Linked DNA regions of Saccharomyces cerevisiae S288C. The protein of the gene in region 1 interacts with the protein of each later gene in a biochemical or structural test. Each region holds a gene or a part of one and is shown in the gene's direction. Other genes may lie near its edges.

What was found.
Region 2: the proteins of GLN1 (region 1) and HYR1 form a complex in vitro, tested with the Saccharomyces cerevisiae proteins (one study listed by BioGRID).

What each region holds. Positions count from the first base shown.
Region 1 is NC_001148.4:635,341-643,820, forward strand, and holds GLN1 (glutamate--ammonia ligase), read left to right. Parts: upstream 1-6,867; coding exon 6,868-7,980; downstream 7,981-8,480. Other genes in the region: Rab GTPase-binding protein SRO7, read left to right, coding at 1-1,884; HTS1 (histidine--tRNA ligase), read right to left, coding at 2,039-3,679; ARP7 (Arp7p), read left to right, coding at 4,185-5,618.
Region 2 is NC_001141.2:418,905-426,425, forward strand, and holds HYR1 (peroxiredoxin HYR1), read left to right. Parts: upstream 1-4,223; coding exon 4,224-4,715; downstream 4,716-7,521. Other genes in the region: MGA2 (Mga2p), read left to right, coding at 1-561; LYS1 (saccharopine dehydrogenase (NAD+, L-lysine-forming)), read right to left, coding at 711-1,832; NRE1 (sepiapterin reductase family protein), read right to left, coding at 2,122-2,886; sepiapterin reductase family protein IRC24, read right to left, coding at 3,170-3,961; GTT1 (bifunctional glutathione transferase/peroxidase), read right to left, coding at 4,905-5,609. UniProt on the Saccharomyces cerevisiae protein: Involved in oxidative stress response and redox homeostasis. Functions as a sensor and transducer of hydroperoxide stress.

The sequences.
Region 1 (8,480 bases):
AATATACTACCAATTCCAAGACAGTCCCCGTATTTTGCAGGATGTCATAATCCGGGGTTAATTTTGTTAATCCTAGGTAACGGTGAGATAGAAACAATGCTATATCCTTCTGGAATATTTACAGATAAAGCCTCTTTATTCCCTCAAAATCTTTCCTGGCTGAGACCATTAGCCACGACTTCAATGGCCGCTTCTGTACCAAACAAATTATGGCTTGGTGCGCTTTCTGCAGCTCAAAACAAGGATTATTTGTTGAAGGGAGGGGTTAGAACAAAAAGGCAAAAACTTCCCGCTGAGTACGGTACAGCATTCATTACCGGCCATTCTAATGGCTCAGTTAGGATATACGATGCTTCCCATGGGGATATACAAGATAATGCTAGCTTTGAAGTGAATCTATCAAGAACGTTGAACAAGGCCAAAGAACTAGCAGTTGATAAGATATCTTTTGCCGCAGAGACTCTCGAGTTGGCGGTGTCAATTGAAACAGGAGACGTTGTTTTATTCAAATATGAAGTAAACCAGTTTTACAGTGTTGAGAACAGACCAGAAAGCGGTGACCTGGAGATGAATTTCAGGCGGTTTTCTTTGAATAATACGAATGGTGTTCTCGTCGATGTGAGAGACAGGGCACCTACCGGTGTTAGGCAGGGATTTATGCCATCAACTGCCGTGCATGCCAACAAAGGGAAAACATCTGCAATCAACAACAGTAATATTGGATTTGTTGGAATCGCATATGCTGCCGGAAGCCTTATGTTGATCGATAGAAGAGGTCCTGCAATCATTTACATGGAAAACATTAGAGAAATCTCGGGAGCTCAAAGCGCATGTGTTACCTGCATCGAATTCGTAATTATGGAGTATGGAGACGATGGTTACTCTAGTATATTGATGGTCTGTGGTACTGATATGGGCGAGGTAATCACATACAAAATTCTTCCTGCATCAGGTGGAAAGTTCGATGTGCAACTAATGGATATTACTAATGTTACCAGTAAGGGTCCGATACACAAAATTGATGCATTTTCAAAGGAAACAAAATCTAGCTGCTTGGCAACTATTCCAAAAATGCAGAATTTAAGTAAAGGCCTTTGCATTCCTGGTATTGTATTAATAACTGGATTCGATGATATCAGATTAATAACACTGGGCAAATCTAAAAGTACACATAAAGGTTTCAAATACCCGCTTGCCGCGACAGGTTTATCTTACATCTCAACCGTTGAGAAAAATAATGATAGGAAGAACCTAACCGTAATAATTACATTAGAAATCAATGGCCATCTAAGAGTTTTTACTATTCCAGATTTCAAAGAACAAATGTCTGAACATATTCCATTTCCAATTGCCGCAAAATACATTACAGAATCATCTGTTTTAAGAAATGGTGATATAGCGATTCGAGTGAGTGAATTTCAGGCGTCACTATTTTCTACTGTCAAGGAACAGGATACGCTAGCGCCAGTTTCTGACACACTGTACATCAATGGAATCAGGATTCCCTATAGGCCACAAGTAAATTCATTACAGTGGGCAAGAGGCACTGTATATTGTACTCCCGCTCAATTAAATGAATTATTGGGTGGCGTGAATAGACCTGCATCCAAATACAAAGAGAGCATCATTGCTGAGGGAAGTTTCTCGGAGCGTTCTTCAGACGATAATAATGCGAACCATCCGGAACACCAGTATACCAAGCCCACCCGTAAGGGCAGGAACAGTAGTTACGGGGTACTAAGAAATGTTTCTCGAGCTGTAGAAACTAGATGGGACGCCGTTGAAGATAGATTCAACGACTATGCTACCGCCATGGGAGAAACAATGAACGAGGCTGTTGAGCAGACTGGAAAAGATGTAATGAAAGGTGCCCTTGGTTTTTAAATACATACACTAATTCATACAGGGTAATGAGCAACTTCCTTCTATACTTATTTTTTTTTAGTTCTATATGCTTTATAAATTAATTTGAATCGATTTATTTTTCATTATACATGTCTAGTTTTACGAAGGTTTGTAAATACATGAGCTATCAAGTTTATAATCCTTTAATTAAACGAGTGACCTCATTTAGACCATCTTCATGAATTTGTGATAACTTTTCTTGAACAATAGGAACAATGTCAGCCGCACTAACCAATTCACCATCATCATCGGCAAATTCTTGGCCCAATCTTTTGACACGTAATTTACCTTCTAAGTACTCCTCCTTACCGAGGATTACGGCAATGTGACAACCCGCTTTTTCAGCAGCATCGAATTGCTTCCTAGGATTAGCCTTGGCCTTATAGACATATTCAGCTTCAATGCCAGCATCCCATAATTGCTTAGTAACCTTCATTCTTTCGGGTAAATAACCAGTCCAGTCCTTACCACCACCAAAAGCCATAACGAACACCTGTGTAGCCGTTGGCTTTATAGTTGTAGAGGAATTAATTCTTTGTTTGATCAAAGAAAATATTCTTTCAACACCAAATGAAATACCAACACATGGAATTTGAGTAGATTTTTTGCCGGAAGCTTCAGAGAACATGTTGACCAAATTATCATATCGACCACCGGCTGCAATAGAGCCGACACCAACGAATTCTGACGCGTCTTCTGCAGATTTGGCCTTCTTCTTCAATTCTGAAGCATTCTCTGGTGGAGCAGATGCAGAAGTAACAACTTCATAGATCAAACCTGTATAGTAATCCAAACCTCTTGCAAGAGAAAGATCAAAAGAGATGAATGAGTCAATGTCAAATGCTTCGGTATACTTCATCAAAGTAGCAATATCATCCAAACCTTGTTTAGCCTTTTCGTTTGAAGTAATGTTGGCATCTGCGGATAGAACAGCGTGAATTTCCTTCAAAGAACCATTTAATTTAACATACTCACCGATTTTATCAGCAGTTTCTTCGGATTGACCTTTTTCTTCGGTCATTTCCTTCTTGACTGCTTCCCATGGAGATTTGTCCAACTTATCGACAGCAGAAGAGATTTTCCTCACATCCTCATCTTTAACACCAGCGATTTGGAAGATCCCATCAAGAATCTTCCTGTGATTCAATTTGATTTTGAAATCTTTGATTCCCAAACTGGTCAAACCTTCCACTAAAATGGACAAACATTCGGAATCAGGAACCATAGATTCGAATGTGCCTGCAACGTCAAAATCACACTGGTAAAATTCTCTCATACGACCCTTAGTCATGGCTGGTTGGTCTCTTCTGTAGACTTTTGCAATGTGATACCTCTTGATACTCTGAATATTGTTCATGGCAACGTACCTGGCAAAAGGAACGGTCAAATCGTAACGTAAAGAACATAATTCACCACCCTGGTCCTCCAAGTTGTAGATCAGTTTGGAGTCCTCACCATACTTGCCTGCTAAAATTTCTCTTAACTCGAAAACAGGTGTGTCGATAGTGACACCACCATGCTTCTTGAATAGGCCAGATAAAGTGCTAAAAATGGCTTCTCTGATAACCATATCACTATCAGCCCAATCCTTCGTACCCTTAGGTGTTTTCAAAGACACTTGTAGTTTACCTTTCTTTGGAGCCTTTGAAGCTTTTAGAGCATTAGCAGCATTAGCAGTAGGAGCAGAAGTAGCAGCAGCGGTAGCGGATGACATCCTGATTATCGAAGACGACTTTATAGATGTGACTACTTTATTTAGTGATCTACTAAGCATTAAGCAAGAGACGAGCAGAAAGGAACTATTCTAAAGTAACACATTGGGCCGTAAGACTCATTTAAAAGCCCGGTCGATCAAGGCCATAAGTCATCTTCGAGCTGGTTAGAATTGAAGAAAAAAAAAAACTTGATAAAAAATTTCAAACAAAAAAATTATCGCCTTACACGGAAACGAATAGATTTACTTATTACACAAGAGAGAACAGTGATTATAAGGAAAGAAAGAGATATATACAATATTTCCATCAAAGACGTACGCATCACGGCGTTCATATAAGTATATCATCGGCAAGTCTTCACACCTTTCAATACTTAGACTTGTTCACCTTGAGTGATCCTGAAAAAAAAAAATGATGGCCGCGTTTCGAAGAAAATAAAGAAAAAATAAAGCAAACCTCAAACAAGAAAACAAAGCGGAAAATGGTAAACAAGAGAGATAGAACAGAGTAGTAGGCTATTAGCAAAAGCGCGAGAATTACTACATTATAAAGGATCTGTCAAGAATGACATTGAATAGGAAGTGCGTAGTGATACATAACGGATCGCACAGAACGGTGGCTGGATTTAGTAACGTTGAATTGCCACAATGCATTATACCCTCTAGCTATATTAAAAGAACAGATGAGGGGGGGGAAGCTGAGTTTATATTCGGAACCTACAATATGATAGACGCTGCGGCAGAAAAACGCAATGGTGACGAGGTGTATACATTGGTAGATAGCCAAGGGTTACCGTACAATTGGGACGCATTGGAGATGCAGTGGAGATATCTGTACGACACCCAATTGAAAGTTTCACCCGAGGAACTGCCACTGGTGATTACGATGCCTGCCACCAATGGTAAACCGGACATGGCCATATTAGAGCGCTACTATGAGCTGGCGTTCGACAAATTAAATGTACCAGTATTCCAGATTGTAATCGAGCCATTGGCAATTGCCCTATCCATGGGCAAGAGTTCTGCATTCGTGATTGATATCGGCGCGTCAGGCTGTAACGTTACTCCCATCATTGACGGTATTGTGGTGAAGAATGCTGTAGTGAGATCTAAATTTGGCGGTGATTTCTTGGATTTTCAAGTACACGAAAGGTTGGCTCCACTGATTAAAGAAGAGAACGACATGGAAAACATGGCCGACGAGCAAAAAAGGTCCACCGACGTTTGGTACGAAGCAAGCACGTGGATTCAGCAATTCAAGTCTACTATGTTGCAAGTAAGCGAAAAGGACTTGTTTGAGTTGGAAAGGTATTACAAAGAGCAAGCAGATATATACGCTAAGCAACAGGAGCAGTTAAAACAAATGGATCAGCAACTTCAGTACACGGCGTTAACGGGAAGCCCCAACAATCCGTTGGTTCAAAAGAAAAATTTTCTATTCAAGCCATTAAACAAGACTTTAACCTTGGACCTTAAGGAGTGCTACCAATTCGCAGAGTATCTCTTCAAACCTCAACTGATATCAGACAAATTCTCACCAGAGGACGGACTGGGACCGCTAATGGCAAAATCAGTCAAGAAGGCCGGCGCTAGTATAAATTCAATGAAGGCCAATACCTCCACCAACCCAAACGGATTGGGTACAAGCCATATAAACACCAATGTTGGCGATAATAACAGTACTGCCAGCAGCAGCAACATATCACCAGAACAAGTATACTCGCTACTGTTGACGAACGTCATCATCACAGGATCTACCTCTCTGATCGAAGGTATGGAGCAACGCATAATAAAGGAGCTGTCAATCAGGTTCCCGCAATACAAATTGACAACTTTTGCCAACCAAGTCATGATGGACCGTAAAATCCAGGGATGGCTGGGCGCCCTTACAATGGCCAATCTGCCATCATGGAGCTTGGGAAAATGGTACTCTAAGGAAGATTACGAAACGCTGAAAAGAGACAGAAAGCAGTCGCAGGCTACGAACGCAACAAACTAGTGGTAAGGCGCAAATATCCAAAAGGGATTGTAGGCGGCTAGAAGGAGATGAGATCTCGACCCATTTTTCTCAGCGCCGGTAGTAGCTATCAGTAAGGAGTAAGCGGGTTTCCTTCAAGATTCAGTCCACCCCCTACTTTGAGTGAGGGACATATAAACAAACGCGATAACTCGATGAACCCATTCTAATATAAAAAAACTGTATAAATAGTTATATAGAGATGAACTCTAAGCTAGTGAGGCCCACTGTAAACAGCCATTTTTCAATATGCGCTACCCGGCGGCGGAATATCGTCCCAGCTACATGATAGCCGCTTTTTTGTCTCTCTTTGTCCCACCTGTTCAAAGACATTTGGTAATCAGTTTGTCAGGACAATAGTAAACAAAAGTGCGCAAGTACACATGCGCTGCACGTGCGGCCGGAACAATGGCGCTTTTGGCTCGTCCGGATGATGCGAAAGGGAAAATAAAATCTCGCAATCGGAAAAACACTCGCGAGAACCAAAACAAGGATCCCCTAAACCCAGTACCCGCATACGGTTCTCCCGGGGAAAAGGGGGCGGAGGCCGGACGATGAGTGTTACCCGGATAGGACTACGGATCGCTTCGCACGTTTGTTTACAATTGATGACTGCGCTCCCCTAATAGATAAGATAAGCTCGCGAAGGCAGAAAAAAAAAAGTCTTCTACAGCAGTTGGTCCGCACAGACGATGCCAGACGGTGTTTTATCGAAAATTTTTTTCGCATCATAGTGCCATTTGTGGTCATTATTATTCCCCAAATATGCGAAAATAGTACACTATTTTTGGCAGGAGAGTAGGCTGATATGCCGCATTGATGTCCTGTGTAGCGAAACACAAACAAAAAAAGAAAAAGTAGGATGAAAAAAAGAAAAGTAATATGAAAAAAGAGTGAAAAATTAATTCATTTGTTAGTGTAAGCGGTCAGGTGTAAGTAGTAGGCTTGATAATGAATTAAAGATGACTCCGACGCATATTGTTTGCCATGTTTTTATTTTAGTTTGTAGATTTCTTTTTTTGTAATATATAAGGGAGTGATTCTATATATCGAATTCTCAGGCTTGGTTGGTTCGTAGGTTGTTCTGTCTTTGTTTTCGTTAGGTAAGAACATCACACAAAGATAACTATAGAATCACATACATATTTGTGAGAAATTAACTTCATTTCATTTATAGAAGAAGTTCAACCGAAACAAAAATTAAACATAATATAATATAATATAATCAAAAATGGCTGAAGCAAGCATCGAAAAGACTCAAATTTTACAAAAATATCTAGAACTGGACCAAAGAGGTAGAATAATTGCCGAATACGTTTGGATCGATGGTACTGGTAACTTACGTTCCAAAGGTAGAACTTTGAAGAAGAGAATCACATCCATTGACCAATTGCCAGAATGGAACTTCGACGGTTCTTCTACCAACCAAGCGCCAGGCCACGACTCTGACATCTATTTGAAACCCGTTGCTTACTACCCAGATCCCTTCAGGAGAGGTGACAACATTGTTGTCTTGGCCGCATGTTACAACAATGACGGTACTCCAAACAAGTTCAACCACAGACACGAAGCTGCCAAGCTATTTGCTGCTCATAAGGATGAAGAAATCTGGTTTGGTCTAGAACAAGAATACACTCTATTTGACATGTATGACGATGTTTACGGATGGCCAAAGGGTGGGTACCCAGCTCCACAAGGTCCTTACTACTGTGGTGTTGGTGCCGGTAAGGTTTATGCCAGAGACATGATCGAAGCTCACTACAGAGCTTGTTTGTATGCCGGATTAGAAATTTCTGGTATTAACGCTGAAGTCATGCCATCTCAATGGGAATTCCAAGTCGGTCCATGTACCGGTATTGACATGGGTGACCAATTATGGATGGCCAGATACTTTTTGCACAGAGTGGCAGAAGAGTTTGGTATCAAGATCTCATTCCATCCAAAGCCATTGAAGGGTGACTGGAACGGTGCCGGTTGTCACACTAACGTTTCCACCAAGGAAATGAGACAACCAGGTGGTATGAAATACATCGAACAAGCCATCGAGAAGTTATCCAAGAGACACGCTGAACACATTAAGTTGTACGGTAGCGATAACGACATGAGATTAACTGGTAGACATGAAACCGCTTCCATGACTGCCTTTTCTTCTGGTGTCGCCAACAGAGGTAGCTCAATTAGAATCCCAAGATCCGTCGCCAAGGAAGGTTACGGTTACTTTGAAGACCGTAGACCAGCTTCCAACATCGACCCATACTTGGTTACAGGTATCATGTGTGAAACTGTTTGCGGTGCTATTGACAATGCTGACATGACGAAGGAATTTGAAAGAGAATCTTCATAAGCATAATACAATGGTGCAAAATTTTTTTTAGGCAGGAACTAATCTACTAATAAACTAACAATAATGCACAGGAAATATTAATGATTTATTTATTTATTTTACTACTATATTACATTACTTTTTTACATAAAAAATTTCCCATCTCACGATCAAAAACAGGCATGAGAAAAAATCAAAATTTATAAAATTAATTTCTAATAAATTAACTGTAATGACATAAAATAAGAGGCTGCGACAGTCGAATTTTTTCTTTTTTTTTTTCTGCAAAGCGACGCTGTGTTGTATATTGCTCTAAAATAATTTTCTATTGTTTTCCTCATGCCATTACCCTACCTACCCGTGCATAATTACACGAGGGGGAGAGCTTTTTCTTCCCAAACCAGACCAGGAAAAAAAAAAAGGTTTGATAATGAAAAAAAAAAAAAGTATTGTATATGACTGTTTTCCTGATAAAAGAATGCCTGCAATAATTCAAAGACAAGAGATATAAAAGTGCACTG
Region 2 (7,521 bases), on another chromosome or scaffold:
GCATGCAGGGAGGAACAAAGCGAACTCCTTGATATTGGATCTAGCGCCAACGAACCCGAAGAGGATAATGGTAGTACATCTCTCTGGAATAGAGTTTTACATCGAATTAATGATGACTTACCAAAATATGAGGATCTGTTCCCGTTGTCTTGGGGTAAAGATGATAAATTGAAAACCACAAATCAAGACAGTATTGTGGAGCAGTCAGCATCTAATATTGAAAACTCTGAAAATTCGGAGGAAGAGGATTATGAGGAAGAGGAAGAATTTTTGAAAAAACAGTTTAACAGATTCTTCCAAAACAAACAAAACTTCCGAAATGATAAAATGTTAATATTTTTCTGGATACCCTTAACACTACTACTTTTGACATGGTTCATCATGTACAAATTTGGCAACCAAGATAGTTCCATCAATCATATAAGCGAATTAATCTCAGAGTACTTGAGAATTGCATTAGCAAAGTTCTTGCTGGGAAATGAAAGGATGAAAACTGCATTCAGGTCAAAATTATCAAACCTGCAAACAACAAGAATGTTGAACGATTTAATTGTCAGTTAGTCTGCTTTTTTACGTATATATATATATATATGTGTGTATAATGAAAAGACAGTACACTTAAAAGAAGAGAAAGTCATTTAAAAAAAGTCAAAAAAAAATTAAACTTGTAAATGTCAGCGTAACGATAATGTATATACTTTAAATGTAAACTACAATCTTGAAGATCTTTTAACACGAGCGCAATGTCTATCGAACAATTTCTTGGCTCTAACCCAGACAGGAGCAGTTTTTCTTTGAGGTAGGAGCTCTAAAGATGGTAAGAGATCATGAGAGAAAAATTCTGAAGCTTCTCTTGGCAGCAAAGAAGGCAAGTGATCAATAGAGATGACAGATAATTTAGGCCCGGCAGTGGTAGGTACCAGAACGGTAGGTTTGTTAAACACAGTAGCCACAGTGTATATTGGGATGGGGTTGTGAGGGTTGGTAGTGTCTGCTGATACGTCCACCACGGTCCTTAGTCTTCTGTTAGGATTATTCAGTTTCTCCATGTTAGTGAAAGGAGCAATTGGCTTCGATAGATATATACAATTGATAAAAATATCAGCTTGTGGAATTTCGTCAAAGGGACCACCACGGGAAGTTTCTTTGATATCCCATTTTAATATGTTAGCATCTGGAATACCAACTTTGTGCAACAGATCGATGGCACCGGAACCACATCTTCCTAGCGCACCAATGATTAACACGGTTGGCTTTCTGGCTCCGGTGGCTAAGGCTTCTTTATAATCTTTGGTAACATCTTTAACCAATGCCTTTTCATTGGGGTAAGGCGACACTGCAGGCAAGTCTTCATCGTCAGAATGCGTTTGCTTGAATGCCCAGTCTCTTACACCAAGGGCTGCACCTGCGAACCCAGCGTAAAATCCAAAGGCAGCAACTCTTCTACCTTGGTCATTTTCCAAAAATTCCAAATCATATAGAGTACCGTGTCCCTTAATAAATCTCATAAGGACATTTTGCCACCCAGCTTGGTCTTTGTAGCAGTGAGCAAACTGGATGTGTTCGTGGACTAGAGGGAAAGTATCGGTTTCAGGCATTTCCTTCAAACCTATAATGATTCTGTCGCGTGGAGCGGTTTTCCATGAACCTGCAGGCACTATAATGGCACCTGCTTGACGATATTCGTTAATATTGAAAGTAGATTGTGGACTGTCCTCTACATATATTTTGAAGCCCTTAGCTATCAGTTTTTTAACCGTGGTAGGTGTTAAGGCAGCACGTGCCTCTAGGGGTTTAGTTTCAGCTCTTAGATGTAATGTGACGGCAGCCATTTTTGCGGTTGTGTGAAAAATAAAGCGTTTTCGTTGTTATCTTATGGTATGCCTCCTAAAATACCAGTTTCCGTCAGGGAAGATGGGCTTTTTATATATTTCATCGTGGTTTCTCGAGGATGACTTTATGACTCTTTGTCGCTGAAATCGCAGGGGAATTTTGGCGGTTGAGAGCGGAATTCCAAATTCCGCTGGAAAAAAAAAATAATAATGCAAAATGTATAAATGTATAAGAGTCTTTTTTGACTCATCGACTTAGTATGTAACAATTTATATGTACCTGCTATCCTCAAGGCATAAAGTCCGCCAAGGCAGGGTCATTATAGCTCAAGTACTGTCCATTAACACCGTCAGGAATACCATGAAGGGCCAATTTGGCATAAACTGTAGCTGGCACAGAGCTATCCAGCAACTGGTTATTCTCCTTTAAACCTCTAAACATCTTCAATTGCTCTGCACTCATGGAGGAAGGCCCCACGTTCTCCCTAATGTTAACTTGCATATCTGTGTCCACAATACCTGGGGCGACGGCAATGGCTTTCACTTGCCTTTCCTCGTTGGCCAGAGTCATGGCGAAGTGGTTCAGAGCGGCTTTTGAAGAACCGTAAGCTCCCCAACTGCTGAAGTACATGTTACAGGCGTCCGAACTGACGAATACCACGTTACCGTTGGTCTTCTTCAATTCAGGTAACGCAATGCCAACCAAGGAAACAATGCTGAAGAAGTTGATGTCATACAGCTTCTTCCAAGCGTTGACATCAATCTCGTTGACATTTTGCACGGGCTCTAGGACACCAGCGTTGGCAACCAAGGAGTCGATCTTGCCGTGGCCCTTAACAGCAGCGTTAACCAACTGCTTCAACACGGAATCCTCGGTAATATCACCGACAACGTAAAAAAACCTGTCGCCATACTTCTCTTTCAACTTCTTCAAGGGTGCCTCAGACCTGGCTACACCGTAAACAACCGTGTCCTTGTCCAAACTGAAAAGAACATCCACGATGGACTTACCGATACCTCTGGAAACACCTGTAACTAAAATAACTTTACCCATGTTTTTTTAACCTGTTACACGCTGTAGTTAGACCCTTTTTTTTAGGTACAATATTCTTCCATTGCACTTGATCTTTTTCGTTTACGTATATATATGCAAAAGTTAATGTTCATACTGTCTTCTCTTCATTTCTTTGAAAACACCGCGGAATTCCTTCGGTGATACATTCAATCCGGTTCTTGGCACAGAAATGGCCGCACAAAACTGTCGCTCATCGCAAACCCAATAAAAGTTTAGTAGCTAAAAACTATAACTATACCCTTTTACATAATATAGTTTAGTACTAGCCCTGCACCGGCCCCAGTCGCTCATCGTTGTAGCGGAGATATTGACCGTTCAAAGAGTCGGGAATACCTTTCAGGACGAGTTGCGCTAGTACCGCCGCAGGCACCTTTGGGTCCAGCAGTGACGAAGTCTTGTACAATTGAGTAAACCTCTCGAGAGCCTTGGGTGTCATGCCCTGAGGACCCAATGTTTCCCTAATATCTTTCTGCATCTGCGTGTCAACGACGCCCGGTGCAATACACACGGCACGCACTTTATCACTGGGCTCTTCACTGGCAATGTCCATGGCAAAGTGGTTTAATGCGGCTTTCGAGCAGCCGTACGCCGACCATCCGTTATATGGTTTCACACTGGCTCCAGAGCTGACGAAGACAATGTTGCCTACAAATGGCGAGCTCTTCAAGAGGGGTAAACACAGTGCCACCAAAGAGACAATGCTGAAAAAGTTCACATCGAACAGCCGTTCCCACTGCTTGATGTCGTGTTCGGAGTTGGACTGGGAGATGGACTTCACCGGTTCTAGCATCCCCGCATTTGCGACAATACCGTCCAGTTTTCCATGCTTTTGCCGGATTTCCTCCACCAACGCTTCCATTCGAGACCTGTCCGTGATGTCGAGGACACGATAGACAAATTTGTCTGCACCGTATTCTCTTTGCAAAGACTGCAGACCAGCTTCCGTTCTTGCTACGCCGTAGACGATGCATTCATCGTCCTCTTCGATAACAGTTTTCACCAATTGCAGGCCAATCCCACGGGAGGCACCTGTAATCAAAATAACCTTGCCCATATCCCTTCTTTGACAGATTATAAGTTGTTTCTCTTGTTGCTGTTCGCGACAGCCCTTATTTCCTGTATTCCTTCTTCTTTTTCTGCATTATCGTTTTTAGCCACTTTACGAAAAAGGTCAAAAAGTGAAAAAAAGAGGGAAAAAACCATGAGGAACAGTATGCTCCCTTAATATCGGAAAAGCAATAGTAATAAAAACAGCATCAGAGCTTTCCACGTCTCTCTCTTCCAAGCTGTCATCTCGTAAAGTATTCAAGTTTATCATGTCAGAATTCTATAAGCTAGCACCTGTTGACAAGAAAGGCCAACCATTCCCCTTCGACCAATTAAAGGGAAAAGTGGTGCTTATCGTTAATGTTGCCTCCAAATGTGGATTCACTCCTCAATACAAAGAACTAGAGGCCTTGTACAAACGTTATAAGGACGAAGGATTTACCATCATCGGGTTCCCATGCAACCAGTTTGGCCACCAAGAACCTGGCTCTGATGAAGAAATTGCCCAGTTCTGCCAACTGAACTATGGCGTGACTTTCCCCATTATGAAAAAAATTGACGTTAATGGTGGCAATGAGGACCCTGTTTACAAGTTTTTGAAGAGCCAAAAATCCGGTATGTTGGGCTTGAGAGGTATCAAATGGAATTTTGAAAAATTCTTAGTCGATAAAAAGGGTAAAGTGTACGAAAGATACTCTTCACTAACCAAACCTTCTTCGTTGTCCGAAACCATCGAAGAACTTTTGAAAGAGGTGGAATAGGCAGGTCTTCTTCTTTTGAAGTTAGGTAAAGCTTAGTTTTCTTTTATATTTCCTGATAATACATACTCGCTAGTCAAACCTGTCAATTATTATGTGTCGCAACAGACTATATACGTATACATACATATGTATTGAAGTGTGTGAACGAATTACGCGGCTGCTAGTGCCGTACGAACGCAACAAAACGGTTTAGAAATTGCTACCTAAAGCACGCGCCTTTTCCTTAGAAGCAGCATACGACTCCTCTGAGGTTATGGTCTTTAACCATTTGGAAATGGCAGGATAATCCTCTGGTGCGGCAAACTTTCTTTCAAACGCCATCTGCAAAGGGAAAGACATCAAGATATCGGCACCGCTCAACTTCCCATCAACCAGGTAGCCGTTATTTTTGGAAATTTCACCCTCCACAAAGTCGAACTGGTTCTTAACTTCACCACTAGAGTATGCCTGACTGATCTTGTCTGCCACTTTTCTTGCCAAGTACGAAATAGGGAAGGGCATACCAGAATCCTTCACCTTTGAAAGAATGAACTCAATCATTAAAGGTGGTTGCAAGGAACCTTCTACATAAAACAGATAATAGTTAATCTGGTCTGCAATATCAGCATCTTCGCTCATTAAAACGTGTGAATGATCAAAATGCTGCAAGACATATTGGAAGATGAAACCGGACTCGGCAAGTATCTTCTTCTTACCAGTTTCTCTGTCTTGAACTTCTAACAATGGAGATCTTCCTAATGGGTGAATTTTCTTTAATTCTGGTGGAGCACGGAAGTTAGCATCTCTTTTATAAGGGACAATTTCATATTCAAGGTTCAAATGGTCTAATAACCACAAAAGTCTGAACGCTCTGGAATGGTCCAACCAATGGACTTTGATAATTGGCAACGACATAATGCTTCCTTGATTTACCTTTTCCCTCTCATTTTAGGTTGTTGTAAAAAATATCAACGATCGTTTTATATATAAGGATTCTGCCATAGTATTTCAACGTTATCCACTTCCCCTAAATTTTCACCATACTGGAGCGAGCGGGTACGAGGTGAAAATCATTAGTAAATGGCCGTAGCATGAAAAGTGCGATTGTCATAGTAACAAGGAGGGGCTTATCCTTGGCTATTGCGAGGCACCCCCTCTGTTGCTAACGGAGGTTGTAACTGCCGGTGGTGGTTTTCCTATTAGGCTAGCCTTGGCATACAGATCACCCTTAGGGCCCACTTTGGTGTGAGCTTGAGGTGCTTAACTTTGTCAATACAAGACGGGCTGGGCTAAGCCTTGTAAAAATCCTCATTTGAGCAATGTACTAGTTATAAGCGCAATAGGTGTTTTTTGGACACCCTGTTTCCGTAATATGTCCTCCCCCAAGGGAGCTTACACTCTTGAGTAAAGTCTTCTTCAAAAAAGTAAGGTCAAACCCCGAAACTGAACGCCATGCATTTCCCCCAGCCAGATGTATGTTACTATCAAAGATCTTATCCATGCAATGTCAAGTTACCGTATAGAACCGATGACGCACTGCTCCGTGCCCATGAACTGCATTTTACCGACGGTATTTGGCTAAAGAAGAGAGGAGCTGATTCAATACAAACTGTTCGTAAACAATTACGATTCTAAGGATACTAGAAGCAGCAGCGGAATGAATAGACGGTAACCTTACAAGAGAATAAGTACGGTTGCACTAGTAATATATATAGAAAGTGAAAGCTGGCCTGTTTTCTTTACCGTCACCTGCGCAGTGCGAGCCAAGAAAAAAATAAAATGATACAAGGAAAAAAAAAAGTTGAGCAGGAAGCAACTTTATTTGCTCAGGATGGTAGGCTATAACTTTTCTTGCAGTAGTAATTACAATGGTGGTCACTTCATTGAAAACAGCTTCTAGTACGATAAGTGGCCGGCGTTGGACATGAACAATATCTGCGATATTATACCTACCAAATCCGAGGTTAAGCTTCCCGCCTTAGACCGTAGCTGCAATGATTCAAATCAACAATGTCGCTTCCGTAAACCTCTCGTTATATATGGTAATAATATTAGCGATTACTTACGTATCTTCTACCAGTAAGCAAAGCAAATTCTCCATATTCTAATTGTATTGACCACGGCTGTAAAATTAACTAAGCCACTCATTCTTGGATGGTTCTATCTGACACTTGTCTGTATGAAAGTATTACTGATTAGCTCTACTTTAATCAATATGAGAAGGAACACACGGCTAAAACCATTCTGCGTACTTATTAATACTTCTCAGGAATAATTGAAGCGATGCAGTGTAATCTGCGGTAAGAGCATTAATCTTTAGTAAATATATTGGTTGAGAAAAGCGAAGCTTATCGCGTGTCATCGTGCATAGCACTGATTAAAAACATAATTGCCCATGCACTAGCGAAATGAGCCCAGTCCTTAATCCATACGTGGTCGTGCTTTACTGAATATCAGAAGATGCAAAGGCTCTTTTCAATTATCTAGTACATTGAACTTAGGAATGTGGGGAAACTGAAGGTCAAGGAAAAAATTAGCGCCATATGTTGGTATGATGTCAATAGCAGTAGAAAAATATATAGACAAGAAAGACGGGGGAGTAAGAAGTTCTGCTCGAGGGTATGGGAAACCACAACAAGGTACAATATTCTTACATAACGTTATTATTATTTCTTTCTCCATTTTTCATTATCAATCCTTGAATTTCAGCTCCAACTAAATCTGATGACCGTCTCTCACTTTCTATATCGTTCTCTACACAGTATATTATAATATACCAATAACACGAACTCCAGTCAGTAGATCGTTGCCGATCTTCATTCTAACA